3 linked regions of the Kluyveromyces lactis genome follow. Each later gene encodes a partner of the first gene's protein in a complex. Links are inferred from orthologs where the notes say so. Each region holds a gene or a part of one and is shown on either strand. Other genes may lie near its edges. The genes, in order: SWD2, SHG1 and SPP1.

Region 1 (12,173 bases):
TAGATAACATTAGAACTGGGATCGGTTCGAAACTATACTTGGAACTTTCTGCAGATCCAGCCATCACCAAGGAATTGAACACTGGTTCCTTTAAAGTCGGTGATATAGTATTGGTTCAACCTTCGGCAAAGGCAAAGAGTAAGAAGGATGAAACGGTAAACTTGGATGCCGTGGTATCCAAAGTGTCCAACAACCAAATCGTATTGGCTGTGGATGAATCTAAAGACCAAGATGCCGTACAATTATACTCGTTCAACAGGTTGTGTCTCTTGAAGACTACTAATACCATTACTTATAAGAGAATGCAATCTACTATGAGGAAGTTGGCAGAGTTCAATTCAATACCCGACAATATCTTGATCCAATACATGTTGCACGAAAGAAAGTTCATTAAAAAAGACCCTGAACATAACGTGAAGTTCTACAACGAACAACTCAATGAATCTCAACGTGATGCCATCCAACATTCGTTGTCAAATGAAATATCTATTATCCATGGCCCGCCAGGGACGGGAAAGACATATACCCTTGTAGAGTTGATAAAACAGTTATACGATAGAGGGGAAAGGATTTTGGTTTGTGGACCATCAAATATTTCCGTTGATACAATCTTGGAACGACTTAGTAAAGTTGTTCCAGGTGATGAATTATTAAGAATTGGTCATCCATCTCGGCTACTACCACAAGTTTTGTCACATTCCCTTGACGTATTGTCTAAAAAGGGAGACTCGGGCATGATTTTAAAAGACATTATGAAAGAGATTGATGATACCATTGCTAGCGTTAAAAAGCTCAAATCTTCAAGAGATCGCAAGAAAGGGTGGCAGGAGGTCAAGGCATTGAGAAAAGAATTGAGGCAGAGAGAGAAAAGTGGGCTAATTAATATAATTTTAAAGAGCAAAATTGTCGTTTGCACTTTACACGGTTCAAGTTCTCGAGAATTGTTGAGTGCGTATGATCTACAATCCAAATTGTTCAATACTTTGATCATTGATGAAGTTTCACAAAGTTTAGAACCTCAGTGTTGGATCCCTTTAATCTCACATTTAAAATCAGATATGCAAAGACTCATAATAGCTGGAGACGACAAGCAGTTACCTCCAACGATCAAAACTGAAGATAATGATAAAGTAAAGCGCTTGTTGAGTACTACCGTGTTTGACAGATTATTGCAACATTACGGCAACGAATTTAAGTACTTGCTAAATGTACAGTACAGAATGAACGAAGAAATTATGCAGTTTTCTTCTAACGAATTATATGACGGGAAATTGAAAGCAGATGACTCCGTTGCGAAACAACTGCTAGCAGATTTACCAGGTGTTGAATCGAACGACAACACTACTTTCCCATGTATTTGGTTAGATACTGAGGGAGACGACTTTCCAGAAAGGTCTGATGAAAATGACAACGATGCAGACGATAAGTTCCACCTAGTCTCTTCAAAATACAACGAAAATGAAGCATATTTGGCATTATACCACGTTGAGCAGTTGATAAAGGCTGGTGTTACGGAAGAAAGTATTGGTGTGATCTCCCCGTATAATTCACAAGTATCGCTGTTGAAAAAACTCATCCATGAAAAGCATCAAGCAATTGAGATATCTACCGTAGACGGATTTCAAGGTAGAGAAAAGGAGTGCATCATCCTATCTTTAGTAAGAAGTAACGAGAATTTCGAGGTTGGGTTCTTGAAAGATGAAAGAAGATTAAATGTCGCGATGACCAGACCTAAAAGGCAGCTTTGTGTCATCGGTAACATGGAAATGTTATCGAGATGTCGAGTGCCATTCCTAAATAGATGGGTGCTCTGGGTAGAGTCTGGCTTCGAAGTCATATATCCAGATCCCAGTATAATTCATTCGTTATATACGTAGAAATCTACAGTTTCATCTGCAGTGACAAACATGCTATATTTAGGATTGAATGCAATAGTTCTGGGACATGTATTTGGTGCGGCGTTAATAAATCCTTGAGGTTTGAGCGTCCTACCACTGATGAAGTCTGCGTGGTTCCATATCGCGATCTTCCCAGTGTAATCAGTTCCCAATGTAATGCGTCCATCTGGAGTGAACGTTGCGGATCCAGAATCCATGAACTCTCTCAATGGGAAAGGTTTAGTTCCTGATAATTCAAATAACTGTGTACCATCGAAGGAATCCATGATCAAATGTTTTCCAGCGGACGACGCAAGCAACAAATATTTACCATCGTTTGAAAACTCCAATTTATTCCACTGATCAAAGCTTGGATCCACATTTATAACTAAAAATGGGCCCGCCTTCAAATGTTTTACGTTATATAAACCGACTTCATGGTTCTCAGGGTTACCAATGGCGAACACAAGCCCGCTTGGATCGTAAGCAATGCATGTGGGGACTAAACTTGGTATAAGGGCCTGTGCCTTGGAGCTTCTCAAATCCCAAAGTCTTACCGATTCGTCATACGATGCAGACAAAAAAGTATCATCCAACGGGGACATTTGTATATCGCTCACTAGAGCACCATGGCCCTGGAAATATCTAAGGTATGTGTTTGTTTCAAGATTCAAATGCCTTATGTCAAACGATTTCATAGTGGATGAATAGATACATTCTGATTGCGCATGTGTAAACTTTGCGGAATGACATCCGTATTTTTTAGAAGCGATGGTATTCAAAAACCTGCAACTTACTGCATCATATAGATGCATATTATCACTAGCAGTTGCAGTCAACAAGTACTGGCCATGGTCATCAAATGTCACTGAAGTTATAGGTCCCAATTCTTTATCAGAAACTCTGAAGGACTTCACAGGCTCAAATCGTAGAAGATTGCTCTTGGAAATGCTAACAGTCATATTTCCTTTCTCAGCTAACTTTTAGATAATCACAGAACTGTTGCTAAACCGCTGGTGTCCCGTTGAGCTTCTCTTTTTGTCTCCAAATTGGTAATATTTCTTGATGGTGTTAACAGTTTTATTTAAATTTAAATGTTCCTCGAAATTGTAATGACATCTGTCAAAGAAATCAATAGTGTTAGTCACTTGCAGGTAGAGAAATAGAGCCTTTCTGGTCTTACTCTGGCTTTATAAAGAACTGACATATTTGAGATTTGTAATAAGAATCATGGGTGTACGTACCGTTCATTTTTTTGAAGAAGGTGGTTAGATACACCACCGTTTTCATCAACGGACTTTGATTTACTAACTAAAAGGTAATCTTAACTGCATTTATCAAATTCCAATCAGGTTAAAGATATAGTTCATTACAGTATTGACTTAGCGTTGTTGTCTATGGTATTGGCTGGATTGCGTAGAAGTAACAATTATGTTGTCGCTTATGAAATGTCTGACTTGAAGAATTATATTAAACGGTATCTTGACTGGGGAGAATACTTATTCGATAAGTTGGCTAACATGGCTGAAAGAAGTGCTTATTTTAGGAAACAGACTCCTTTTGACAAGTTCTTGGATCATATGGAAAGAAAGCGTAACCTGTAGTTACACCAATAACGTTTATTCAAACATACATACTAATATATAATATTCAGTTCTTTTTAGTGTCTTCTATCAATTCATATCAAATATAAGATAACTGGAGTGAATGCCATCAAGACGCCGGCGTTTAACTACTGGTAATTGGTGAGTAGTACAGCTCTCCTTATTTTTGTTGATGCTTTTTCTATTTCTTTTAAAATAAAACCTTTAAATCATGATTTACTTGTGTCCTGTTAAACACCACTGTGTCAATGGCAATAACAGACATTAAGAGGCTGTTCACAAAATATTTTTGGAGACAGTAGGCTTTACAAGTAAGATATGGGGCTTGGAGAGTTTATGTATGGCCTTGATGCCTTCAGACAACCTTCTGCACCATCCGATTTCAATAACATTCCTTTGATAAACAATCTACGAAAAGAGCTTCTGCAAAGCAAGACAAGCAGAAAAGGGAAACCGGTGAGTTGGAACATTGATAAAGATACCAAGAGACGGATCAAGCCTGGGAAGAGATTGATTCCTCTTGCGGCGTATACTTGCCATAGTGAGAAACCTTTAATTGCCAATAATGACGGAGATGTGTCTGATTCCAATACCATTAACATTCTAGATAAATCGACACTATTGCTGATAAGATCTCTTGGCTACTCAAGTTTGCGACCTATTGGCATTGATAAAACCCTAAAAGAGATCGAAAAGGAGAAGGGAAGTAAACAGAACAAGCAACAAAATGAACACAATTCAGGGCAAGAACCAATACTTAATGCCTACCAAACTTCCTCTTCATTTATTGTGTCAAATCATAATCATCAACATACAGAACAATCGGTACTGCTGACAGCACAAGTTGGTGAACAATCTGAAGAAGAGTACGATCAAAGTTATGATTACGATAACGAGTATGCGGAAGTTCACGAACAAGGATCTATGCTCGACAGAACGAGAGGTACGTTTGTTGAGGATTCACAATTAATTGATACAAGTTATACCAACCGGTCAAGATCCAGGCATTCAAATGTGGATGCACTGCCATTTGTAAATGAAAATGAGGATTCGGTCCATGAACAGCCATCGTTGACCATATCTGATACTCTAGACTCCGGTGCTCAAGGTTCACGAGTATCTAGCCTCACCTAAATGCCTATTAAAGAAGAATGACATGTATTAAACAAATAAAATAAAAAATGCTAACCTTTATGAATGATATTTATGCGAGTACTGAGAGACCATTATTCTTCAAACGATACTAAATTAGGTAGGTCTTTCCTAGTTAATGCTATTTGTTCGACTTTAGCTGTTTGGATATGGATTGCCGGAATCATCCATTTACCACAACTGCATCTAGAACCTTTCCAATTGTAACCTCCGATCTTGCTATCACAGTTCGGACAGAAAAATTTACCTTCAAGCTCTTGCTTTTGTAATTCTTTCTTCATCCATTCCAAAGGCTCCACGAAATAGTGCGAACAACGGTCTTGTGATTGTTGAATATCAATAATTCTTCTAGATCCTGCGGCCCTCCTAATGAAATGACCTTCCATTGATTCCTTACTTGGAGGATCATGCTTAATGAAAGAAGTGGAAAATGCAAGTCTAAACCTACATTTTTTGCAACGGATCGCAGAAACATCTTCTACTTCCTCTTTCGATAACTTAGCTACCTTTTCAGCTTCAACTTCTTCAGACTTATACATTTCATTTTGAGCCATGATATTGGCTCCCAAGGGATCAGTTTTAATGGAATTCTGTAATTTCCATTGTTTATAGTCTTTATTCTCGACATCCACTATATTCGAACCCATGGCTTCATACAGCTTCAGTTGCTCCATAAAGTTCTCATTTGGTTCAGCTACGCTCCGTTTCCTCTTCACTGCATGTAAAGCTGTCTTCAAATTGAACCCGTATCTGTACATTAAATACGCTACTGCAAACGTAACAGATCTGGATACACCTGCTTGGCAGTGTATATATATGGCACCCTTTTGGGGCTTCTTTTTGAAATCAACCTTCACTCGGTCAAGCTCTATCTCATCGGGAAACAGGCATGAATCGATGTATCTATTCGTTTCATTGAAATACTGCAACACATCTGTACTCAAATTATCGTCAATAGGAATATTCTTCAAAGTATAACTCTTCCTGACCAAGTATTCTGGAATGATCTCAAATTTGATCACTGATAGGATGTGAGTGATCTGATAATTCACTTTCAGTGGAACATGGTTCGCAATTGGTTGAATACCACCAACATAGATCCCACCTAGTACTCTTGTAATATCAGATTCAGTATTCGCCATTGCAGATGATTGTAGCTGATTATTTATGAATACTTGCCGGTACTAATATCTCTCTCTGAGGCGATTCCCGTCCACTCATTAAACTTTACCTCGTCTCATCTCATCGCTTCTTCTTCTTTAATCTTTTTGGCCTTGGAACAATTTTTTTCCAGTCTAGTTGAGGGAAAGAAACGTGATTTGTGTCAGTGAAGGTAGAGATGATATGATACTTCTGTAGTACCGACGGGTAGGATAGCCAAGTGAGCTTGGATGTGGGAGCCCTTTGCGCGACAAGGCATCCTTGTATGTTAATAATACAATCCTATATAGTTAATTGTCTGATTTTTAAATTCCAGTAGTTTTTCCTTATAGGATCCCAAGTGTCTGCTAATGCCTGATATGCGATCTTGGACTTTTCCGAGTCTGTTTGAGAATATACATCAGCTAGGAGCTCCAATGCGAAAGAAGACTTAACATGGGAGATTGGTCTTTCTTCTTGGTCGGTATATGTCTCCAAGGCGTTATCTATGAAGGACGAAGCAAAATTAATCAACTTGGAATCGTATTCGTTATTCTTGAATGACTTATAAATAAAACGTAGATGGTTCCAGGGGCTTACGTTTTGTGGAGCCAACAATATCTTATCCATACAGTATTGAATTTCCACCTCTGCTACTCCTTCCTCTTGAACATGATCGACGTTCTTCAAATAAAAAGCTCTATGGGTCCAGGCGCTGTTGTTATACACGTCTCTATCGATGTACTTGTTCACAAAGTCGAGTTCATGGGACCAATCTTTGAAGAATTGGACGGACCATTTGCGGTACGACCATACATGGTAATTTTTTGTATCGTCATCGATCATCACGTCTAGTATAGGAAGGTCTCGCACTAATTTGGGGGATGGATGTTCTGAGAGTAGCGCTTGTCTGTACGACCAAATCTGGTAGTTTTTCGGGTTATTTAAGGTGAACTCATCGAGCCAATCCAATTCTTTCTCCCATGCGGATACATCTTCTTTCCGGAACAAGGACATGCAAATCTCGAATCTGTAGTTCCATGCGGTGTATAACGCTGGTACAGTCTCAATCACCGCGGCAGTTACTGCCATTGCTCTTTCAGATAATTCATTTTGTTGTAATAATGCAACGAATAATGATACGAGTTCCTTGTATTGGTCTGTGTATAGGATGGCACATAGTTCATTTTCCAATCCAGATTCGATTGGTATTCTCTTAACATCAGAATAATCGCACTTGTCCATGGTATAGTGTATTATTTGTGATGTTCTTGGTTTTACTAAAGTTTGGTGAGAGTGTGATAAGGGAATTGTACTAGAACAGGTCACGACCCGGGGAACAACTGTTATATATAGTACTTAAAGGGGGGAGGGAAGCTATCAAGTTTCACCAGTGATGAGAATTGCAATGGATTTTTTCCATACTAAGTAACCTCAAACAGAGAAAAAGAGTCAAGGTGAACGGAAACCAGTCTACAATGAAGTGAGATCTATTCAATTTTGATGCATTAAGACACGAAAAGTTCTTCTCTGGTGAGGAAATTGTCCGTGTCATGTCCAAACGTATGTTCTTTACACTCAATACACAAACAATCACGTGATGGGAATTGTTGATGGTAAACACATTTTTCTGGCGGATTTTCCGCCAGAAAAATGATGGCTTACCATCAAGGGTAGTCCTTCTGTAAAGAATGAACCGCACAATTATCCCCCAAAAACACATTTCCAGCCCAGTTTGAAGAGGTTTTGTTGGATTTTTGTCGGTTTTGCATCAGCTTAGACGGACAATATTGGAACTTTTGAATTTTGAAAACAGTTTTACAAGGATTTAACAAATGATAACACGGCTTGTTATTGAGAATGTATTTGTTTAGCCATATCAACAGTGTATTGATTCAGTGTAGCGATAATATAACCAGGGCAATTACTATTAGATAGGAATAGTCGTGCTTTGCTGAAGTCAAGGATGCTTACAGAGAAAAAAGACACGTCTAAAGGCGATCTTTTGAACGATTTTTTGTTTTTAGGAAACGATGAGGAAGCTAGGGATAGCGCCGGCGATAGCGGCCCTCGAGAGGGCAGTCGCAACGTAAGTAGTAGTTCTGATGCTATTGATGCTGCAGACCTATTTGACCAGTATATTAATAAGGATATGTTGATGGAATCGATAGAGGACGATTCTTCTCCTGGTTTACTCAAATTGGATTTTGTGTCCCCTGTGAAGATGGAAAACCAGCTACGTACGAATGTTGATTTATTGAAGTTAGATACTGATGAAATTATGGATGTGAATGAGCATGAGGATGTTGACGATCAGATGAATGCTTCTGGCGGTGTTACAGATGTCCACGACGATTTGACTAGGGAAAATGTCGAACAATGGAAACTGGGAGATGAGAAACATAGCAGTAATAACACCGGAGTGCCAATGCAGAATCTTACATATTACCAACAAAGTGAACGGTTACTTACCCATGGGATGGAATTTGGTAGAACACGTCCTTTCAAGACGGTATATTTGAACCCAACTGATTTTCTCCCCAAGGATGATGATGATATCTCATTGCCATACAAATTGAATGTAGATGGAATCCCCTCTGTATCTAGAGTGGAAACTCAAATTAAAGTCAACGTCTCGATTTCCCCTCCACCTCCACAGTATATGATCCATTTACCGACAGATAGTATAACGAAACAGAAGCTTTATTTGACTCACGATATAACAGAGTACCCCATCGAGGTGAGGAGGCAGATGTTGTTTTTGGAGACTTTTTTGCTTTGCTCGTCAACAAATAAGACCACATACGTTTGTGCCAGGTGTGTGAAAAGAGAACAACGTAGAGCTGCGAGACGGAAATCTGGTGTAAGTGATAATCTGCTTTGGTGTAACAACGATAACAAGAGAGCTATTGTTTTTAATAGCAAACAAGTCCTCTTAATGAAAGAACATGAATGCAATGAAAACTCTAAAAATTTCTCTTTGATGACCCGTATCGTATGTTACTGCAGACATCATAAGGAGCCAGAAGGTTTCAAGGTGTTGATGGTTCTACGAGATGCAGATGATAATATCTTGGCAAGAACAGTGACAAACAGTATTGTTATTATGGATAAAAAGACGACAAGCAAGGGTAAATCTAGTGACAACCGTACCAGCGATGGTTATGTCAAGGATGAAGATTCTATGACAGGACAAGCCAGCGATTATAGTAACTCCGAATCCTACGTGAGTATGAAAGCTGAGGACTCTTCAGCGCCAGTACGGCTTTCTATACCAAAAGGTATGCCCTCTCCAACTTCCATTACGGAGGATTCTTCAGAAAATGTCCATACCGACCATGGTCCAGTAAACCCGACTACTCCTGGCTTTTTCCACTCTTCTGCAGCTGCCTCGGCAAGAACGAATGGTTATAAACGTCCAAGAAGCTCTATAGACGGTACCAATAAGTCAGAACGCTCGTTGTCTAATTCTTCAACCTCAGTAACTACAGCTTTGGATGTTTCTTCTTCGATATCTGGTCCACCTCATTCTTTGTTACAAAATAAACAACCAAACTTGTTATCTCAAATGGGGTCTGTGAAACCTGCTGCTGCAGGTATCGCAGCACCAGTACAACAACAACAGGCAGCTTTTCCAAGGCCTAACGTGCTAGTGCAGCAGATGGGTTCGTCTACAACGAATACTGTTCCCGAATCCGGCCCAAAACCATTTATTCAACGTGTTATTCCTGCTCAAGGTCCTATCAAAGGTGGCATCGAAGTGACACTATTGGGTTCCAATTTCAAACCTAATATGATTGTTAAATTCGGCGACAATAGAGCTTTATCTACTCAGTGTTGGAGTGAAAGTACCATCGTTACATATTTACCACCAACTTCGAAACCGGGTCAAGTACTAGTTTCTGTTTTCGAAAGAGAAGATCATGGTAATGAACAACTGTTGGGTAACATGTCAAACAGTAGGGCTATTTTTACATACGTGGACGATACCGATCGTCAATTGATTGAACTAGCTTTGCAAATCGTGGGACTCAAAATGAATGGTAAATTGGAAGATGCAAGAAACATTGCCAAGAGAATTGTTGGAAGTGATGGTGGCTCCTCGAATGGTTCGACACCAAGTTCAAACATCTCGCCCTCGACGAACTATAACGCTGACTCATATGCCACTAACTCCAGCAACCAGGTATACTACTCAGACGAAATGTTAATATTGAAAGTCGTGAAATTGCTAAACCCTGGCTCGAACCTATCCATGTGTAACTCAGATGGACAAACTATGTTACATTTGGCATGTTTGAAGGGTTACTTCCATCTGGTTTCTGCCTTGGTCAAAAAAGGTGCTAGAGTTGACGTTACTGATTCATTCGGTTTCACACCATTGCACTTTGCTTGCATCAACGGTGATGTCAAGGCTATCCAACTCTTAGTAGAATGTAAGGCCAACGTTACAGCAAGGGCAGACAACGGTGTCGATGCTCTCGATCTATACAAGTCGCAGCATGTTTCGGCTGCAGAGAAAAACAACTCCTACATCGAAGATGCTCTGCGCTTATTGGCCACGCATGATGGTGGCATTGAAAAAAACGAATTAGAAGACGAGTTGAAAATGTTTGGAAGAAAATCAAGCACCTCCAGTTTCCATTCCAGCGTATTCGATGCAGAATCTTTGGACTCTGTTGATTACGGCTTCCAAGTTCATGTTTCCAAGATGGTGCAGGATACATTATCGGACGATTCAGAGTACGAATTCAGTGGTTATGACGAAATGAGTGAATTGGACGATGAAGTACAGGACGATACTTCACTAACCATTGCTCAGCGGGAATCCCAGTTGCAACTCTCGACATATGTGCATCCCTACAGAGCAGACGGCACTGGTACGACAGTCAAGCCATCGGAAGAATTAAGCCAGGATAACGGTGAAGAGCAAGAAGGCGACAGGTCGGCTCGTACTCCAGAAGGACTACCTAAATATGAAGATTTATTCCCAGTATCTGGATTGAACACAAGCAAGAACAAGGTCACCGAATTGAGCCTCTCTATCGTCAGAGAGGCCAGTGTCGATACTGCTCCGGATTCACACGATTCTCAAACTTCAGAAACGTCCGAGGATGAAGAAGAAGCCCTACAAGTAAGATTGAACAGATTCTTCCAACAACGCCAAAACTTCAGAAACGATAAGATGTTGATTTTCTTCTGGATTCCCGTCATGGTTATCCTATCATCTGCGTTCCTAGCATTCCAATTTGGGAGAGACGGTAACAAGATTCATCATATCTCGGAAACGGTATCCGAAAACTTAAGAACTTGGATGGCAAAAACTTTACTAGGTAACGACAGAATGAAGGCTGCGTTTAGAGAATCCATCCATAACCTACAAAATCATAGACTGCTGGGAGAAGGAAACTACCTGGTCTAGTCGAACTTTTAATTTTCTTTTTCTTGAACCGACCTTTTATCTATGTGCAAAGCCCGTATATAGTCGAATCTTGAAATAATGGCTTTTTGTTAAATGACACGATACCAGATATCTAGTATGTATTCAAATATATAATACATACGCATAATAAATCATCGCATCCAGTGTAAATGCCCATTTCTGACTTTGTTACCCTTTGAAACCACATATTCTCACTGACGATCCTATCAATTCAACAGATTTTCATGGTTTCCCGCCTTTGGAAATCCAGAACGTATGAAAAAGCCTGAAAATCGAAAATATAAAAACAATAACAAACTTAAAAGGCTTCGTGTATTTTTACTCATTACATCAGGAAGGATTTACATGGGGTGTGTTCGTTGATTACAGATCAGAGACTAGTGCCCATTGATTGTTTGAAACTCGTCAATTACTGTAGTGAACAATTGAGTTATTTGACCTTTAATTTCACAAAAAACGCTCCCTGAAACAAGAACTAATACGAATCATCTACAATGGAAAAGATCAGAGAAGTATGTGTGGCGATTTTTCATAACTACTTGATCCCCTACCTCTCGGTCCGGTGATCAATGTGAATTAAGCAATTACTAACAAGATGCAATTCCTCGTCTGACGATCATTATCTTTAATGCTGAAATATGAAACGGTATGTCGATTGATGGCGATCCGCATTTGATTTCAGTAATAATGAACGTGACAGATTTGGAAAGTGAAGCGGGGGTGCTATCGCCCCCGTTTTTTGTTCGAATAGAAGCTAAGCAACTTGAAATTAGAAGCCGAGTCGTGGCAAGACAAGTACGAAGAGTTGAAGGAACAGGTGAAAGTTTTGGAACAAGAAAAGACGGATAACGAAAACTTGATCAAGTCTTTGACTACCAAGAACCAAACTTTGGAAGAAGAAGTTGAGACTTTGGAAGGTCAAGTCTCTGAACACAAGCAACTAGCTGAAGATTCTAC
Region 2 (8,552 bases), on another chromosome or scaffold:
GCAACTGCCGAATTTTGAAACTTTCTCCTCCATGTTCGAAGATATATGGTGTCCATACATGAAAGAATTGTTGAACATCCCAGATAATCACAAAGTTGGAAATCCATTACCTTTGAACTCTCAGCAAACTTTGATCAAGCTCTCTATGGCTGATTATAACGGGTGTAAGTTGAAGGTATCTAAATCCAAAAACAAGTCATTAACTGGGAAAAATGGTATTGTAATATGGGATGCTCAAAAGACATTCATAATCATAACGAAAGGCGGATTAGTCGATGAATTGAAAAGCATACCGAAGAAAGGAACAACTTTCGATTTCGAGATTCCAATCAATGAAGAAGAATCTTTAGCCTATACAATTCTTGGTGATAGATTTAAATATAGAAGTGTTGATAGAGCCGGTAGAAAATTTAAGAGTCGCCGTTGCGATGACCTATTATATTACATTAGTTAACGAAGTAAAATATATATGTAGCAGCCTTGCTACTTTATCTGTTCAATCAACTATCATTAGTTTTGGCTTCAAGGATAGTTCTTATCTTTTGTCTCGTCGTCGCATCGTCAAGTGAATCACTCAGAAGCTTCTCCACATCGATATTTGACGTGTTTAAACTCTTGAATCCGTCTTTAAATAATTGGCCCTCAAGAAGAGCAGTCGTGGTACCTCTGTTCTTGAAAATTAAAGACTCATCTTCATTTACCCTATCACGAACTAAATCCCTTACTCGGCTCTTTATGAATTCGTCCAAGCTAATATCACCCTCTACATTTTGAGATAGTATTTCATTCTTTAAACTGTCTAAATGACCCTCCTTCTTAAAAGTTTCCGCCAAATATTTGGCAGGATCTAAAGACTCTTCTTTCAAATCGTTACCATTACTATTCATGCCGTGTACTACCCTTAGGTGATTGTGAAACCATCAATACCAGACCAAGGTAGCAATTTCTTACACTGAATTGCAAAGAAAAGGTCTGCAAAATCGCCAAAATTTCCAGTTTTTTGGCCAAGACAAGATAGTTCAATAGTCAAACCTCCATTCAAGATGCACTTCAACAAAGAAGTGGCAGGAGCAATAGAGCTTCTTGTTATACGTTGAGCCCTGTGTATGACACCTGAAAGATATGAACTATTAACTTCCCATGAATATTCGAAACGGAAAAGAGCTAACATGGTTCACCTACGGTAATTTAGTGAATAAATCAGAGGATGAGTTAAAAGATGTGAATAAACGACTTACACGATGGATTGACCAACTAAGGTACTCGGATGCTAATGGATTGGACGACAATAAGAACCGTTTACTCGATGTCACAAGAGGTTTCTTACAAAGCTTTGACAATGAAATGCAGCATATGACTAACACTATTGAAAGTCCATTGACTATTGGGAGCTTGGCAAAACACATCCTAACAATAAAACTTCAACTAAGGAAAATACAGCCTCTTTTCTTACCTTTAGAGCGAGCACTACACAAACTCGGGTTAAATATACGACATTACTCACTTCTCGTACAATGGCTGGTCACCATTGTTGGATATAAATTATATTCTGAGTTGAACGATCTAATTAGAAGAGGGTTTGAAATTGAGGTTGAGACAAGATCCATATCGAATGACCAGTTTTATGAGGTTTGCAAGTTATTTTCAGACTTAGGATTTGATTCACATTATCATCATTTTTTGGATCCGATATCCCTACCTAAGAACAACGATGTTAATCCACGATTTATCTTATCTATTCTCGAGGGCTTGGTATTAACCTTCAAAACCCAATTGCAAGTACAGTCAGATATTAAGGACTTTGAAGCGGAAGCTTATACCTTCATGAATTATTTGCACAACGTGACTCTCCAAATATATCCCGAAGAAGTTTTTGCAGTGACTCGTGCCGGTTTTTTTGCTGTATTTGCTGACGTTGATTTCTACAAAGCTTCGATCTCACAGAAACTCGGTTCATCACAACCGCTCAATTCTCAGCGTATCAGCTATAATATATGTGGTTTACAAAGTGTTTTGACCGAAAAGGATATACTATCTGCTAACCTCGAAATTACTACGAAGTGGGTACAAGATTTGACTGAGGTTGGGCCTAATTACCACCGCCTCTTGATCCGAATGATGGATTTCATTCTTCAACAGCGCAAGCCTATAATGAGCCGCCAATACGCATTTGAATTGGACTCTAAAAATACTATTAAATTCATGAGACTGATGGTGAAACACATTCTTACTTATTTTCCAGGCACTACCAACATTGGAGATGTGTTGGGTAAAAAAGCATACAACATGACTGAAAAAGAAAGAAGATGGCTAACGAAAATAGGAGTATTCTTGAAGAACACTCGACAATTTCAACCATTTTCTGCTTCGTATTTTGAGCAATACGTTATAAAAGAAATCATTCGAGATAATCTAACCATAGATCTAGTCAAATCTATTTTAGTTGGCAAGAAACTAGAACTTGACGCTCCCCTCGCTCGCTTTTACATAGTAATGCAGCAGGATGCTGGGACACTAAATAATATTAACAGGATGTTCAGTCATTTGTCATTAAAGATAACGAGAAACAATAGGAAGAACGATATCATCTTACCAGCAAAAATATTTCCTAATATTTACTCAGAAAATTCGGCAAAACTTCCTTTTAATCTGCCAGGAAAATGGGTTAACAAACACGAACCACGGATTACAAGTGATGGTATTAATGTACACTTTTATGATCAACCGCATCTACATAGAGTCATCATGAAACCTACAATTTTTCAAAAAACCAACATATCCATAAACTTCAATTTATGTCATGCTGTCATTCTTGATACATTGTTCAATAAAAAACTAAGCTGGTCGCTAGATGAAATGATTAGTGCTCTTTCCGTTCGCAACCAAGCAATGTTCAGCCATTATTTATCATCCTTAGTCAAGCACGGACTCTTGATCAGGAAAGAAGATGGCATATTTGCACTTAATCTTGGATTCAAACCTAACAGTAAACTTCTGGTGAATAATATTTTCACAATACCATGAGCTCAGTATACCAAAACTTCTACTGTTACGTCATTGGCTGCTAGTTACGTAGCCAACACAATGTACTTCCTTTACCTGGCACGTGACTCGTATGTCTTTTTGATATAGTATTGGGCAAGTACGTAGGATCATATAACACTTAGTATTTCAATTGTTATGGGACAGTATGTATCGCATAAAGGTTCCACCCTCAACGTACAGTCAATGTGACATGCCGTTATTGGTTCCCGAACGAATCAAAAGCTCAAAAGTTCTGTACGATTCTCTGTTATCTGAGCTCGAACTGCTGCTTAGACAATATCAAATCCCAGGAGATGACCTTAAACACGATGAAAAGATATATTTCACTTTGCAAAAATTGATTAGATGTAAAGTACCGAGGCTTGCTAAGGCTTCCAGTAATTCAAGTCAATATGCTGCTGTCTTTAAGGACACGTTTGTTGAAGATCTCTGGTCACTTCTTAGCAAATTGATAAATGAACAGGTGGACGAGGAAGATTTCACGAATATAGAATGGTTAACAAACTTATGTGAGTTAGAAGATGCTTACAAAAAGATACAGGGCAAGGTGAACTCTTTGCAATATTACACCAAGGCTTTTCTCCGGAACCTTCCAAATAGTTTGGAAAATATCTCCTGCCGATCATTAGAAGGCTACGCAACGTTAGTCTTTTTCTCAAGAATAGCAAATCGATTGCACTCGCAACTACGACAAACTATCGAATCGTTTATAGTCGAAGCGTTAGAATCACGTACAACATCCCAGTTCAGTTTGGTCAAGAACATTATCAGGTACGATATTCCAATTGATAAATCGTCAGTGTTGGGGCTTTTTGAAGAAACCACTAATCGCATAATTAACTCCTTTACTTATAGTTCTGACCACTTCAAAAGAGTCGACAGTCTTCAAAAACAAATCATATACTACTGTTCCGAATATCAAATATTATGTCAAAATTTAAGCATCAATACTGTGGATATTCTTTTATTGAAGTTTAAATACTTCGAGGATTTCTTCGATAGATGTATGGATGATCAAATGACGATAATAACAATAATAGAAGAGCTAGGGGATATGATATATGCCTATTACCCGTGGCGAGGTGAGGAATATGATAACTTCGTAGTACGAGTTATATGTAAAATGCTTGACGAAGACTATTTGTCGTCCTTCATCTCCACCTATTCCATGTCAAGCGAATCTTTTGATTCTAATCGAAAGGCAATAATGAAGAATATGATTACATTGACTTTTAATGCAGACATAAAGAATATTGAAAAAGTTGACAGATGGTTGTGTAAGGTTTCTGAGGAAGGGCAATTTTCTGGGATTAAAGATCTGGTTAGATCATGCTGCATTTTTATGAACGACATCTTTCCGCCAGACTCAAAACAAGACGAGTTACTATGGAACATATATAAGAGAAAATATTTTCTACGGTCGGTACTAAAGTCATTGGGGGGTTCCGAGCAGCTGATTAAAACAAACGAGAGATTCGACCAACAGCTACTTTGCTGTGGGCTGTTGAAGTCAGTTCACATTCTTGAACTCCAGCAGCTAAACGACGAACTAATTGAATCATTGAGAATGAAGAGAGCTCCAAAGATAACTCCTGTCATTCTTAAACAATCTAACATCTCGGACTCGTTGGATTCATCCGAAATTTCAGGACTCATACTACCGGAACCATTAAATGGTATGGTGAATAAACAATGGGAGTACTACAAGGTTTTAGATAGGAATGATCACAAAACAATGTCACTCCAGTGTCAGCTAAATCTTCTGGAATTGAAAAGCCCCTTTAGACATGGAATTTCTTCTGAAATAGTGATACTTCACGTTAACCTACTTCAAGCATCAATATTTCACTTATTTAATAACAGTGCTCGTCTTTCACTTGAACAAATAAAAAACACTTTGACAGAAACAAAGCACAATATACCTCAGATTGACAGCAATATGGAAATGTTTTTACAAATGAACATGTTTAAAAAGGATTCTGAGGACTGTTTTTATCTGAATACTAAATACAAACCCAAAAAGGAAGCTCTTAATGATGGTAAATTGACACTGTACCATCTTCCTAAAATATCGCCAAAAATTATGGAAAACGATAAGGCAGATAATAGATGGTTCACTGAAATTGTCTGTGCATGCATTATCAGGACGTTGAAACAAAGAAGAAAGTGTACAAAGACAAAACTTTTTGAATATGTCGCTTCTGCTTTCCCGGGTATCAGCCGCGGAGAATTCAAAGACGCGCTTGGGAGATGCGGCGAATACTATACATCGGAAAATGGTAACGTACAATACTTATTATAGAATTTACCTTAGTTTTGATATTTAAATGATTTCTTTTTATTAGTACATTTACTCAGGTTCAAATGCTTGATCCGCCACATCGAACAAGAGCTCCATCGCACTTATTTGGTAGTTCACATCATTCAAATCTTCATTATTAGGTGAAATTATGGTTGGTCCCCAAATAATGCACAATGCCTTTAAACCCATTCTGTTTTTAGTTTCGTGTTCCAAAATACGTTTCAAATGGAATATCAATGCTCTTATCGTCCAATATTGACCATCAGGTAGTTTATAGATGATACCGTGCATATAGTTTTTTCTGGTAGTTGAATCTTCAATCGATAGACACGTTTTAATTTCTTCGGTCATTTCTCTTGGTAAAAGAGTATCAGGGAGATTAGCAAAAAATGTTTTTAACAAAGAACCTACCAGATAAATATCAGAGTCAGTGTAGTTCTTCGGTGGTAAGATCATAAAGACGTTGGATGGGTCCTTATCAATTTCACTTTTGAGTCGTGACACATCAAGAACGTTTGCAGATTTACGATAAATGCCCTCCAAGTTTAGACCGTATTTGTCAATAACGTAGATACATTGGCGGACAATAGCCGGTACAAGATCTTGATCGTAATCCAGAAGATTCTCTAGGGGAACTGCAAATGTCTTGAAATCTTTTGCAGTACCAGGCGGTAATGACCCAATAGTTTGTACTGTTGATGGTGGCCTTGTCATAGTTTCGGTGGTGGCAACGGATGGTGCAACACTGGTTTGGCGAATATTTGGGCGTGGGTCAAGAGTTGGGAAGTCTTTCTTGTTTGTTTCTGAGGGTGGCACAACATCGACCATTGATTTCAATGGTCTTGAAGATGTTGATGTTATGCTATTTCCATTCACAGAGCTCTGAGACGGTCCACTGGAAGCAGAATTTGGCGGGTGTGTGGTAGCTGAAGGTGATACTGTGGATGACAAAGCGGCAGCTGCTGAAGAACTATTGAATGGGGACTCATGTTGAGTGGACATGACTCTTTTTGGCAATGAGTTTTTTGAGTTATTTACGACAAAATTCGAGGGGCCAGATATTTTCCCAAAGTTACTGCTTGTTCCCATTGCGCTAGATGTGTATGACCTTGCCATTGATGGATGCTTTTTGTATTCAACAGGAATCAAATTCTTATTTATCATGGATCCCGATTTGGATGTGTTGTATTTGTTTAGGAAGTTGTAAAGATCCAATTCGTTATTCATCGAGGTTGCAGAACTTCTCATAGATTTTGAGTTACCATCTACTGGGTTTACAGAAACCCCGCTGTTTAGAATCATGTTTTCTGTCCAAATTGTGTATTTTTGCAACTGAATTGACATTGCTGTATCGATTTCTAAGATCAAATCTTTCAACTCAGACACGATCTGTGGACGTTCTTTACTCAAAAAAGTATTTCTCAAAGAATTGGAATGATCTACTCTCTGTTTATACTCCAGATCGGCGCTATCTATCTTACGCTGAAGATCTTCTTCTTGTTCCTTCGTTGTTTTCGATCCCCTTAACGTTAATTTTGTTTTAGTGGGATCAGTTAATCTCAATTTCTCCCAATCTTGACACAAAGAGATGTACCTTGATTTAGCTTTTTCGGCAGTGTGGATCGCATCAGAAACATCCTTTTCAAGTCTCCTACTTTTCTCCTTTAAGGATTTTCTGGTCTTCGTTACAGTTAACAGTAACGCTGTTACTTCATCATAGATTTTTTGCAATGCCCTAACGTACGATATCTTAACTTGCGATAGTTTGTTATCGTACTCCAAGAGTTGATGGATGGATCGAGATAACCCAGAATTCCCAGTTTCTTGGAAGAAATGCTTGGTGGTTTTGGACATTTCCTGTGCATGCTCTTCCTCATACAAGTACTTTTTTCTCATGAATTTGGTGAACTCCTCACATGTCAAAAGGGAACCTTTCAACCTGGATAGTAGGGCATTGATGGCGATATCTGAAGACAAAACTTTCTTAACTTCTTCTCTTTGAAGCAAATCATTTGATTGAGAAGGCTCCGCTACACATCCAGTAAGGTTTGGATCTGTCCCTGACTCAGAAGTGTCAACACTCATATTTGAATAAATGAAGCAATGCAGTTCCTATCACCTCTGAATTAAAATAAATTAGATTAATCAATAAAAAGAACAAACGACGGTTTATATTTAGCGCTCCTGCGTTTTCCGATGAACCGAAAAAAAATAAAATCAGAAACCTAATATGGCAATTGAGTGCTGATACTGAAACCTGCTATATAATTGACCGAATGATATGTATCTCAATCAAAGAGATCCCTTTCTTGCTTCATAAACAATAATGGATCACTTTGATTCACGTATGTGTTTATAGTTTTGATATCGGTCTTCATGTTCCAAACAGACATTCTCCATTTACAAAGCCAGCTTTCGTGGTTAGTGATGGTAGCACGTGATTACCAGTGACAAATAATACAGACCACTCCTTCAGTTGCAATTAAGGTCGAGGATTACGGGAGTGCTTCGACCTGTCGCATCTCATGCCATAAAAAGCCTGCATTCACTGACGTTCTTAAATTATGCCCTAAAACACCACTGTAATCCAGCTTATTACTATTTAACCAGTTTGAATTTACTGTTCTTCTGCTGTTTCTGAAAAGCTTAAAAAAAAAATGTTTCGAAAATGAAAAGATACGTATCTCATCGCTACTTTTTGGAAGAGGATAATCGTTCTCTCTCTCTTTCTAATAAGGTTGTCAGCCAGGTCGATACAGCGACTGTCAGCTGGAAGAATTATTCAACTCTTTGAGGCTTGTCCTGTGCCAAGTTGTATTCAAAAATGGATAACCATTGTTTGATTTATGCAGGAGCATGGTGCAACGTAGTGTCAGGACAAGACATGTTAAATCTTGTCTAACTTTCTCTCCATTTGTCTTGGGTTACAGAGTATATCTTAATGATGATACATTTCCTTCAGTGCATAGTTCAACTGATAAGGATAACTTCCTATATGAAGATAAAAATTCATCGAATTTAGTCTTTCGCTCCTATCTGAAATCTCTGTCTCTTGAACGTCTTCTTTTTTAATTAGTATAGCAACTTGTTATGTAGAATACTACATGCTCTTACTGATGTCCTATTTATTGAAATAGTTGTCTCAAACTACGGTTTTCAATGCATACATCTGTACAGGATAGAGGCCGTCAGGTAAACCTCTTTG
Region 3 (12,347 bases), on another chromosome or scaffold:
TAAATGTCTTCTTATATACGGTTCTTTCTCTCTTTCATGATCATTTTTTCAATTCAAACCAAACTCTATGAAAAAATTGAAACTTGATCCGATTTATGTTGTGGAACACGTGACATGCAGCCATTTGAGAAATGATTTATCTATACATGTTCCTGCATGTTCTATCTAGTGGGCCAGTAGGGGCTAGCAATCAATCCGCCCAACAAGTTTGAATAAACTTCTTCATGTTAACGTGTTTCTTGGTTTGTCCCACCATCCAGGGGTGTTGTAGCATTTGTCTTGGAGATGGTCTATCCTTTGAATCTTTTTTCAGACTGTAATCAAGGAACGATTTGAAGGATTTGGACCATACTATGCCTTGTTCTGGTTCATCTTTCAATTCAGGTGTGAAAGTCAAGATAAGCATCAAAAGTTCTATAGGGGGCATGTTTGCTGCTAGTTTATCCGTATCAAATGGTGAGTGTCCCTGTGCAACTTCCAATAGTGTGAGACCCAAAGACCATACATCACTGGTAACACTGTATGGCTGGCCCTGTATCCTTTCTGGAGCCATGTAGTATGATGTTCCTGTAAACGTGGTGGCAAGAGAGTTCACTGCCTCTCCACTGACTCCAAAATCGCAGAGCTTTATTTGTCCTATTTCGTTGAACAATATGTTCTGTGGCTTAATATCTCTATGAATGATCTTTCTTTCGTGTAGATAAAATAGTCCTCTAAGTACGCTCTCAGCTATCTTCCCCAGAACCTTCTCACCAATTCGTCCCCCCTTAGAGAGAAGGTGCTTGTACACCGAATCTAGCGATCTTCCGCCCATATATTCCATCGCAATAAAAATTGTCGAGGTTTCTTCGCATGCAAACATCCCGTAATACCTCACTATGAAATCAGACTTACAACTCTTGTTGAATTGCAATTCTCTGAATATTTGTTTCTCTGAGCCATCATTCTCTATCGTGGCAATGGTCTTCAATGCAAATATTTTTGAACCGTTCCTTAACTTACATTTCGTGACCGATCCTCCAGTTCCTTCGCCCAATATTCCCAACGTATCAATTTGTTCATGGATCTTGTAAGTTTGCCATATATCTGACTCAAGTTCATCTGTGCTATCATCTCTATCGTGCTCTATAATTTCACTTTCTTTCCCATGGTTTACCAGGCTTGTGCTGCTGCTTGTTGTTGGTTCGCTATCGTACATGGATATTAGATTGGAAGTCATCGAATCTGCACTTTGGGTTGACTGCTGTGATCCAGACGTTGGCAGATGGTCCGTATTGATCTTCAGCCCGTGCAATTTGTTCGAAAGTGATCCCATCGCACTTCCAGAGTTAGTACTGGATAGCGGTGTCACTGATGATGCTGTCGGTGGAGGTACTGGTCGATTTTTCAAAGTCCGTGCAGAACTCGCCGATGCACTACTAGTCGGAGTAGCACTAGACGGTACAGATTTGGAAGGAGGTTGTCGAAGCTTTTCATCCCTAATATCTGTTATTGGCTTACTATTGGAAACCAATTGCGGTGGTAACGACAATTTTGGAGGCTTGGAATTGGTTCTCCTAGACTCTGGTGGTCGGAACATCGAAGCCATCTTTGCTTTCACTTCACACTTGTCTTTTCCGTGGGTCCATACAAATAATATAAATATCAGTTAATATCACCTTATGCGACAAGTAAACAGCGTTTTTTTCTATTCAAACGTTTGAGCTGTTTTTCTTTGAAGTGTCCGTTGATATTTTCTTCTATCGAAGTAAAAAGGGGAAACCTCGGTTCTCGTGTCTTAATCCTCAGCGGATCGCTTTTATACTCAGTTTATCGTTTTAAAATGCCTCTCGTATCGTATTCCACTGGGATACGTCCGGAATATTACTCCTCTGGGCCTCAGGATTCTCTTATGTGCCAGATCATCTTTATAATGCAAAGAGCCGTTTAAGTGAATTTGTTTTATTAAAGTTCGAATTAAAGCCTTGTCCTGAAAAAAAAAAAAATTCAGAGACAGCCGACGTGATCGACCAGTACAAACATTTTAAGATTATATAAGGTTTATCAACTCATTTTAAGTTCAACATCTACCGTTTCCTTTGGTTATTTGGAATCAGATTTTGAAGTTGAAACATTTCAAGCTTCTACCCATAACTTCCATGCTCGTATTTTAGCAGAAACCAGTTGATATTATGTAAGAGATCACTGAGACAAAGTTGATTAAGCCAATAATCGTCGCAGTATGCATGTTGTAGGTAGGTACACTTTTATTCTATCGTATCCTTCATTGCTTATCGATGCCGGTGTTATTCTTGCTATGATAGGCCATCGAATGTTAAAGGGAAGATTTATTGTTTTGCCCTTTAAAGACGAATTTGGACCGTGAATGTTTAAATATTCACAAAAGAGTAATAAACATTTATTTTGACCGTGTTAACAAATTTCAATAATACACACTTGGACATAAACATATTCATACATATAGTCTTTAGCTTACTCAGATTCTGCAACCTCTCCGTCTCTGCCATAAAAACCTTTGTATATAGTTAGGTAGCCATCCCCGTCAACAGTACCAATTATATCTCGAATCAAAGGATGCTGCGTTACAGAACCCTTGATCAAAACTGTATTATCAGGTTTGTAGGCGGATCTTCTACCGCCGCCAGTATGTAAGAATTTCAAAGAATGTTCTTGTATGTCATCTTGATATATTTCATCAGAATCTGCACTGTCTTCGCCCTGTTGCTCGCTTTCGTTGATTAAATAGCTGATATCCCAATGGTACACATTTCCCGAAGCACCTACAGTGAGGAAACATTCGGGTTCCAAGGGGCTGAATTGGATATCGACCACAGGATCGTTATCTAATTGGTACAATGTGACTATTTCTGTGGCATCCTTCACTTCTGTGGAATTTCTAGCGGCAATGGAACGTAAATCCCATAGTTTAATAACACCGGCATCAGAACCAGTAATGAAAAGAGTATCAAACTGTTTCGATGCTTCAACAACGTTTATCGTACCATCATCTTCAACTTCTGATCCTGCAGTCGAACCCTCACTAGAACTGGAAATTGAGTGCAAGGCCAAGCTAAATAACATTTCATCTCGAGCTCTAATATCCCAAAATCTTAACAGATTATCCTCAGTGACTGTGCTGAACAATGTAGCAGTGTGGAATTTAACGCACCGAGCCTGTTTGGTATTTGGCAATGTAATGGTATGTAGCACGTCACCTATATTGTCAGTATTGTTGATGACGGTGATTTTCGTTCCGCTCTGTGCAGATTCTGGAACCGGAGATTCGAATCTGACCACATATTTTCCATCAGTTGAAATATCGAAGTCAGCCGTAACATCTTTTTCTGAAGATCTTTCTAAACTTTTCAATGGTTTCTTACTAGAGCCATTGTACCATGCGAGTGTACCCTTTTTACTCATTACAATCAGAGCCGATGTGGAATGGTTAGCTTTGAATGACGCAATGGACTGTCCCTCGAAAACCCATTTTGCATTGGCAGGCTCTGAGAAAAATTCGCTGTACCTAGGCTGTGGTAGCTCTTTATCATCATGACTTGTATAAGCTCCAATAGGCAGCTGTACACCAATCTCGTATATTTCGCTCCGTTGCGAATAGTAAATAGACGTGTTCAATAAACCCTTATCTGCCTCTTCCGAGATAAGTTCGGTGAACAAAACTCTCCTTTCAGGTGACTGGGCACTTTCAGAAGGGCTAAAGATTTTAGGTTGCAATGTAGAGATATGCTCATACAAGGATGGGATAGTTTTCTTCCAGATCTTGAACTCTTCGTTCTTAACCTTGTTTGTTCTGATATCTGTTGCCATATTTTGTTTGTAAGTTTATGTGTTTAAAAGCTTCCTCCAAACGCTTACCACAAAACCAATATCTTTGAAACTTACAGCGAGAGAATAGAGGTTCCTAATAGGAGATACAATTATAAGGTATGTCTGCTATCTTTTGTCCTGCCCCTTTATATTTCGTAAAACAACCAGACCTTAATGGTGATATTGAGCTCATTGGTTTTTCATTTTTATATTGTTTTCTCATAGAATGAATAACATGGTAAGTGACTTTAACTATGTGACGATTAGATGAATTAGGTTTACGATAGGATAAAGCTTATATACGTTCAATTATTGGACTAGAAGCATATGAAAAACCTGATGTTTGTATTAGGTTAAATTATTTATACATGCTTTTCTTGCTAGTTGATGCTACAAGTTAAATATAAGCGTTTCGCCTTCATTGTAATGACAGAAAAGTGACACATTAGATATGAGCTAGGTCTTAACACCGGGTAGGACGCGATTGGACATCTCTTGTTCGAAGAATGAGATTCTCAATTGGTTCGTTCTGACGCTAATTAGTAAATCGAGTCTTCTTTTGACGTTTTCTAGAGAGTCCTTCTGTTCCGAGAGATCGTTTTGGGACAATGTAATCCAATCCTGATGCTTAGCACATTTTGTCTTTACACAAACACCGTCAACTGATGTGATATTACTGTTTTCGTCTTCTTTCAACTGAAGTAGCTTATCTAAAAACTCCTCAACTGACCGAGGGATCGTGAACTCATTATGGTAGCCGCATATTGTAACTTTACTTGCACTTTTCGACTTCTTTCGACCTGTAGGCTGATTGAAATGTGGGGATAATCTCTCGTTAACTTCACCGATCCAGTTGACGTATTTCTCTATTACTGCATCTTCTTCATTTAGTTTTGAAAGCTTGACCGAAACCAACTCATCGTGTTCGTTAATTAATTTGTTTAAATGCTGATCATTTTCTAGCAACTTGGAATATTGATCTTTGGATAAAGGTGACGTGACTTCTGGAAGCTTGTCTCGTCCTAGCGTTTTAAATTCCTCCAATGATGTTGTCTCGTTTAGAAGCTGTCTCAACAATGCAATCTTATCTACGCCAGGTAGATTTAACTTATCAACAATGCTTTGAACGTATTGAACAGCATGTTTCTTTGAACAATATTTGCTTCTTGAATTGGCATCACACTCTGTATAGCATTCAGGGAGCCTGCATTTCCTCTTCCAAAGAGTTTTCGGTAGTTTGCCGCCATTTATCAATGCCGGTCCTGTAATTCCAGCACTACAATACGAACAGTAGAATGAAAAAACGAGATCTCTATATTTCTCGGGGATCTTTAAACAGGAAAAATGAAACCAATCATCACATCCATCACATCCTACCATCAACTCCCCAGTGTCTGGTTTCTTACATATACAATAAACTTCTTCCCCAGTTTTTGGGTCGTGTTTCCTGCTGTCATACCTGGGGCACCAACTAGGTAATGACATCGTGAATACTGTAAATTCAATCCTATACTGGAGTTATCTTATGATGATAAATATCTAGGCAGAAAAAATGAAGTATATTCTTTGTAATATTCAAATGCAACCATTCATGTACCCTTCACAGGCCATATTTGTGTTATTTCTCTGTTTATTTTACCTTCATCGATTCGTGTAATGGTTTTTACATTTTAATATTCCTTTTCTGATGCAATGTGTAAAGATGGAATGTAATGAATAAGCCAACATCAAATTAAGAAACAGATATACCAAGATTCTCAGAAATATCACTTGCCCTTTGAGTATATGAACAAGTGCGTGATTCGCTGACTTATAATTGATAAACTTCATGACTGCTGCGAAATTGACACCGTTGAAGCCCATTCCGACCAAACACATCGACCCCGATTTAGCAAAAACCCCCGAGGATGCCAGCGTCAATTTAGTGTTGAATATTAAGAAATGGCTAAGGTGGACGCAAAAATGGTCTTTATTCCCTCTAGTAACGTACTTTCCGTTACACGGTATCAATGCCCTAATAATTCCTGCTCTTGAGCCCTCCTCTTTTCCAAACGATGCTTTAATGATGGTTAGAGAACTCACATCTGGACTTGGATCTAAGTTGATTTGGACTGGGATATCAATACATATATTATCCGGATTTGCCTTGAGAATAATGAGGAAGCTGCCTACTTCTTCGAAAACACATAATGCCGAATCCTTGCTGGATACTCAGTCACTTGCACAATCTAGAATTGGTCTTGTAGGTGGTTTAAGTGGGTACTTTATTGGGATCAAGAGAAACCTTCAATATAATCCACAAGAGCTTACAGGATGGTTGTTAACTCCAGTATTATTCTTTCATGGTGCCCTCATGAAATGGCTGCCAAATACGGCGAAAGTTGATATAGACTTTGATTTTGTCAAATGGCTACTAGATAAAGACAGAGGTGCTTTGGTGAGGATAGGTCTCGGATATGGCCCCTTGGTTGCTCTTATTGGTTTAGGATCGTATCATATTATCGCTGGAACCGTTCAATATATGCATGTCCGTAGTCTAAAGACTCGTAAAAGAATAATGAACTTCATATTGCTGCTTATTTGTACCGGATATATTGGAATAAGCAGATTGGGATCAGAGATCGTATTCGGAATGGACAAATATTATAGACCAATCCTAAGAACATTGTCATTATCATGAAAATGTATGCTTTACTTCCTGCCAGTGATACACCGTTCATCGTTAATTTTATTCACCATGGCGCTTGTTTTGGTCTTCCTGTACCTAGTTTTATTTATTGTGTGTGTGGCACGTCCATATGTACTTTTGTTTATGCAAAAATATTTATTTATCCTCTGTTAGAACGAACACGACTCAAATTGTTCAACAACTTGTCATATGTCTCGTCAACGTTGAGTTGTTCGGTGGTGGTTTCATCTTCGACATAACTATCTTCACTTTCAGATGGGAATCCATTTTCCTGCGCGGAGTGTCTCTCATCATGACTCACGTTCCCGTCCGGTCTTCCTCCAGGTGATAAAACTAATGGCTTTGCATCAGCAGGTGGTTCAACTTGGATACCATAAATATTATCCAACTTGACTTGTTGACAATTAACATTATCAATCAAGTCTTCAATGGAATTGATACCTTTCGCTTTGATGATAGCCTCACGAAGTTCCGTACCAGATGGAATCTTCCCAATGAGCTTTGCAGATGCCGCGGATTTAGACAGAGCAGGAATGGAATTTGAAGAAGTTGGAGGGGTAGATGCAGTCGGTGTAGCTGCAGGCTGCCCGGTTTTCTGTGAAGTCTGCACTTGTTCTCGTGGTTTTTCAACGATTTGTGACAATTGTGGTTCCTTCCTTTGTGCATGCTTATGCTGTTGCTGTTGTTGATACTTAGACATAGGCGTGTTTTCTGGGTATATGGATCGCTGTTGTTGAACGAAGAACCCCCATTTGTGCAATTCACCTTCTTCCTCTTCTTGCTTTTTACCGAAAATAGAACGTTGAGAACTTGTCTTCGTTAAGATCGGCCTACCTGTAGTCACATCAATGGTCCTACCAGAATCAGTAGCCATCAGATGGGGTTTAGCACTGTTCGAATCTTGCTCGTGTTCTAGCTCTTGATCAATGTCCTGGTCAATAGGATCGACAAGTGGTTTCGCATACATTATTCTTTCGGAGTCAACATGCTTCAGTACTGGTCTCTCATCACTAGAAGAATAATTATCATCATCTTTATTCTTGGCATAATTTAATTCCTGGATATACGGATTAGTGGACAAGTATTCTAGGATATTTCCTAAGGTATTTTCCATGAAAATAAGTCTTAATAAATTTTCTTTGCTCTGTAATGACAATTCTTTTGAAATTCTTTGTTCGAACATGCTGTCTATGGTTTTTTGAACATTGGCATGAATCGTGTGGATTTTTTCCCAATAACGCTTGAGTAAATACCTTTTCGTCGAATCTTCTTGAAGCTTAGCAGAGTCATTGAGCTTATCTAAAATATTACCGGCTGTTTCACTGATTAGTTCACCATCGAAAAGTAAATCGTCCTGCGATGAAAGTTCGTCCAATTGCCAATTAGAGTCAATTGACTTCTGCGCGTTTCTAACTAATGCTATTGCTATTCTTGAATTGATTTCCTCTGGAATGTTCTCGTAGTTGAAGTCCAAGTTAATCAACTTATCGCTATTCTTGATACAATCATATAGAAATACAGCTGCACTCATTGCCCATGATTCTTGTGGTTGGTTCATCATTGAAACATGTAAAAGCTCTTTACACTTGGGTAAAATCTGTGTTACAAGAGAAATGTCCTTATAGGTCCATTCATTAGAATCAAAATGTAATCTTTTTAGAGAAGGGAAACGCGGTAGATATTTGTTCAAATAAGGAAAGATTGCAGGGAATAATGAAGGCAATCCCGATAGATCTAAGAAATAAAGTTTCGGTAATTTTGATAGTTCCCTTATAATCAATGCAGCCTCTTGCACCGATTGAATGTTTGTTGAATTCAATGTGAAGTATTGTAATGAGTCGAAGCTGCGTTGCGAAAGCTCTTTGATAATTGGTTTTGTCAAATTTTCGAAGTCATTAAATGCCAAATCAACACCGATGATATCATTTTCAGACATCCATCTAAATAGAATTTCTAACTGTTCTGAGGAAGCTATCTGAGATTGAGCGAGACCCAACTTACGTTTCCTTGAAAATTCGTTCTTAGTTGAGGAAAACGCGTTTATCATATTTTCGAAAGTGTGCAAGTTATTGGCAAAAGAAACACCATTGAGGAGTAGCTCTTCTAGTGGTTTACCTTGTCTCTTGTGCAAGACATCAATGAATAAAGACCAATCCATTTGAGACCTGTGTAATTTAAGATCTAGATCATGTCTGATTTTGGTCTGCGAGATGTCTAATTTCGTCAATGATTTATTTCTCATCAAGAATTTACACAATAGTTTCCATCCACGCTCATCGAAAACAACATTTCTCATCGATAGTCTTTCAAGGGTGATGCTTTTAACTAATGAAGATATGACTATCTTAAACATTTCAGGACTTAGGCCGACGTTATCAAAGACAACGTTGTGGATAGGGACAATAGCAATAAAATCAGAGAAGGACAATATATCAATAAGAGTGGGCCTTGGGTTCAAAAACTTTAATGTTTGCAAAGGTGCCTTTTTCTCCTTTAATTGTCTCAAGGTAGAAGGAATCGGAAGAATTTCACGCAAATGGCAGCATCTGGTGTAGACAACATCTAACATCAACTCATTGCCATTCTCATCCTGTGTACCGCTAGTCGAAGATGGATTGGCTCCATGCTCGGAGCCAGTTCCATTACTAGAACCCGAAGATTCTTTGAAATGATGTTCATGCATATGTATAGGTTTATCAATCTCCAAAGACTTAATCTTTTCATCTGCCACAACCCCCGCTTCAGCATTTGCTTCATCGTCGGTGGCTGCTCCAGATTTTGGCACAGTACCATTGGCAGAAGGCTTTAGGTCTGTCGAAGTAGAAGGTTTTAATTTGAAACCGGCAACTTCGGAGGCAATTCTTTGAGCCGCATAATGTGCTTCTTGCTGATGTTTCTCCGATTCCTTAAGACATTTTTTATGATTTTCCAAGGCAAGTTGGTATTCTTTAGAATCTTTTGTGTAAGCAGATGCTGGTAGAGCACCATGCTGATCATTCCCATGTGAGGAAGGTTGGGCTGTCGTTGTAATACCTTGAGATATAGAAGGGATATCACTGATCATGTCGTTTGGAACAAGAACGTTACCCAGTTTTGGCTTTCTCGAAGGAATTTGTTGAGGAGGGTCCATACCAAATTCATCGACTGCAAAAGTAACTCTTTTCAAATTAATCTCGGTCAATTCTTTGATAGGCAGTGGATGCTTCGATTTATTTGGATTTTTGTTCAACACGACACGATCGTGTTGAATTGGCGCCATATCCTTAACTTCCGGAGAGTTTGGTTCCTTAAGGAACTGGGATATTTGTTGTCTATGAGACGCAAATTGCGAGATGTTGATAGGAATAGGTATTCCTCTGGAGGAAGAAGAAGAAGAAGAAGAAGAAGCCGGAGCAGCTGTGGTCGAAGCCTGCGTTGGCGAGGACGATGACGATGCTGTCGACGCAGAATGGCCCGACGCAGAAGAGGAAGAAGTCACCGGAGCTGGAACCGAAGATGATGTGGATGAAACGTTTGTATGGGACTCCAGCGGTTGCAGCGGTTTCCTATTGAACAAAGAACCGAACAACGATTTCTTTGGTTTTTCGCCCAGCGAGCTGCTCCTCCGAAGGACAGCAGATGATGGTTTCAAAGAGCGACCAGACGTATTTGGAGAGTTAGCTGCAGTCTGGCTCAGACTCGCTTGCGAGTGTGAGCTTGACCGATTACGAGTCTTTGCCGCGGGAGTTGGAGTTTGAGCAGGTTCTGAACTTGCAGAGTTCTCTGGTCCAGCACCGTCAGTGCCAGCCCCTGGTGTTGCTTCTGCAACACCAGCAGACCCAGGAGCAGGAGTAGGAACAGAAGTGGAAGCAGGAGCAGGAGCAGAGGGAGTAGCCGGTGGAGCTGAAGAGGAGTCCAATCTCCTATTCGCTCTGACCTTCTTCTTCCCCTTATATAACCAATCCACTTCGACGTCAAGATCCAACGAATTCGGCATGTAGACTGACACTCCTGATATAGTCTGTTGAGAAACAAAAAATTGGGCAGTAACGGGATTAGTTCTGGTATTATATTGGGCTAGTTGACCGTTCCATTTCCAAGAAAAAAAAAGTGAGCTTTAATTCTAAGCTCTTAGAATAAATACAATATATACTTAACATTCAATATTACAATTATAATTATCACCAAATAGTAAAGATACAATATAAGATTCAGAAAAACTAAGTGGATTCTCAAAATAGTTACAAAGTGGGCAGGGCAGAACCGCCATAGAGAGAGAAATTATTATTAATGTAAGAAAAGTAACGCACCCGTACAATTGGCCGCAGCAGATCGAGATCCATGCATCAACTGACGTATTTTAGAAGAGTGAAACAAGGAAGATAGATGGAAGGCTCATCGTATTATGTCTGGAAAATGTATTAAAATTGAGCGAAATAAAGCATGGGAGGGAAATAGGATTACGAATAAAAACAGAAAAGACAAACATATAAGTAGTATATGTAAAAGAAACAATTGATGGCAGTTAGGATCGAATGAGGGTTCGAACTGGCGACGACTGCGAAAAAAATATGTCAATAATGAATCACCGAAGACCACTAGTAAACGGAAACAAGAGATCTTCGTCCGCAGCACTGCATTCGACGGTCTCCCATACAACACCCACACACCTCACCATATCAGCTTGCGGGGAGAGTCCCTCCCCCCACTATCCTTCTGTAATTATCCCCCGCTTGACCTCCGTCCGTTGCCGGTGTGGGCCGCCGGCCGCGCCGCCTTTTCCACAATTTTCAACTTTCAATATTTTTTTCCCTGGCACTGGTTTCGGGACGACCAAAGGGAAGAGAAGGCTCGTTCTTACCGTGGTAATTAATATCCACGGAATTTGTTCACACGACTCGGGAGACTAAACCAGGGTAACCATCAAAACTAAAAAAATTGTGAAAGGAGTCAGTCAAACTTTTGTAAACTGGGTGGCATGAAGAAAAGAGCGCACAGCATAATGTCAACATATGTCATACTGCCATCATCATCATTCAAATCCAATTAAAATCCGAATCCGATTTGGAATTGTATTTCGGTCACTTGTTTTGCACTGCTCTTTCTTCCCTTTCTTCCTATAGCAAATAGTTCATGATAATGATATCCTTGCAACACGCCGGCTCCTTATCAAGACTTACACCACCCTGTAGCATTGGATAAAGATTCTTACATAAGACAATACGAAACCGCTGTTAACGCTTGTATCCTCTGCTGCTTTGTCTTTTCTCCCCGTATCTTCTTTGTTCCTTCTCATTGTTTTTTTCTTTTTACACTTTTTCCCAGTTTACCACGCTTATGGAATATTTTGTATTAGAAATTTAAACTTCGACGCCTGGAATTTTGGATTTTTAAGAGTTTTATTATATATATATAAGAGTCATTTATTGTGTATATAATATGCATCACTGTAATTTTATAGCAAGAGCGAAGATCTTCAATAATCCAGATATTGAATCAAGGTTTAGTAGTTCAGGATAACAGATCAACATTCAAAACACATACACATAATTAAAAATGTTTAGAGGACAAATGTTTGCAGTACAGAGGATGGGAAGTGCACTAATGCACGGCGGTGGAGGCGGAACTAGAATAATCGGTGTAGCAGCTGCTAGAGCAACTGCTCCTACCGTCGGCTCTAGTCCTTCCATGGCCTCTGCTAGATTTTACCATCCAAAGGTCATTGATCATTATACAAACCCAAGAAATGTTGGGTCTCTAGACAAGAATTTGCCAAATGTTGGAACGGGTCTTGTCGGTGCCCCAGCTTGTGGTGATGTGATGAAATTGCAAATCCAAGTTAACGACGAAACAG

The links.
Region 2: SWD2 (region 1) and SHG1 share a complex: the UniProt entries of both Saccharomyces cerevisiae proteins name them as parts of the set1C/COMPASS complex. The link is inferred for Kluyveromyces lactis from reciprocal best matches to the Saccharomyces cerevisiae genes SWD2 and SHG1.
Region 3: SWD2 (region 1) and SPP1 share a complex: the UniProt entries of both Saccharomyces cerevisiae proteins name them as parts of the set1C/COMPASS complex. The link is inferred for Kluyveromyces lactis from reciprocal best matches to the Saccharomyces cerevisiae genes SWD2 and SPP1.

The regions. Positions count from the first base shown.
Region 1 is NC_006041.1:1,599,037-1,611,209, reverse strand, and holds SWD2 (WD-repeat containing protein SWD2), read right to left. Parts: upstream 2,840-12,173; coding exon 1,859-2,839; downstream 1-1,858. Other genes in the region: ATP-dependent 5'-3' DNA helicase HCS1, read left to right, coding at 1-1,877; MCO12 (Mco12p), read left to right, coding at 3,108-3,113, 3,230-3,481; MND2 (Mnd2p), read left to right, coding at 3,800-4,615; tyrosine protein phosphatase YVH1, read right to left, coding at 4,708-5,775; RAM2 (bifunctional protein farnesyltransferase/protein geranylgeranyltransferase), read right to left, coding at 6,077-7,018; KLLA0_E17953g (uncharacterized protein), read left to right, coding at 7,740-11,195; KLLA0_E17931g (tropomyosin), read left to right, coding at 11,711-11,728, 11,968-12,173. UniProt on the Saccharomyces cerevisiae protein: The COMPASS (Set1C) complex specifically mono-, di- and trimethylates histone H3 to form H3K4me1/2/3, which subsequently plays a role in telomere length maintenance and transcription elongation regulation. Involved in mediating RNA polymerase II termination.
Region 2 is NC_006042.1:190,034-198,585, reverse strand, and holds SHG1 (Shg1p), read right to left. Parts: upstream 888-8,552; coding exon 501-887; downstream 1-500. Other genes in the region: POP4 (RNase P/RNase MRP complex subunit), read left to right, coding at 1-454; KLLA0_F02167g (uncharacterized protein), read left to right, coding at 1,141-3,024; cullin RTT101, read left to right, coding at 3,191-5,347; GTPase-activating protein RGD1, read right to left, coding at 5,396-7,432; TAE1 (N-terminal protein methyltransferase), read right to left, coding at 8,490-8,552. UniProt on the Saccharomyces cerevisiae protein: The COMPASS (Set1C) complex specifically mono-, di- and trimethylates histone H3 to form H3K4me1/2/3, which subsequently plays a role in telomere length maintenance and transcription elongation regulation.
Region 3 is NC_006040.1:612,593-624,939, reverse strand, and holds SPP1 (Spp1p), read right to left. Parts: upstream 5,311-12,347; coding exon 4,282-5,310; downstream 1-4,281. Other genes in the region: mitogen-activated protein kinase kinase MKK1, read right to left, coding at 191-1,588; KLLA0_D07282g (uncharacterized protein), read right to left, coding at 2,473-3,825; MCP1 (Mcp1p), read left to right, coding at 5,654-6,505; HER1 (Her1p), read right to left, coding at 6,654-10,490; putative iron-binding protein ISU2, read left to right, coding at 12,050-12,347. UniProt on the Saccharomyces cerevisiae protein: Component of the Set1C/COMPASS complex that specifically mono-, di- and trimethylates histone H3 to form H3K4me1/2/3, which subsequently plays a role in telomere length maintenance and transcription elongation regulation.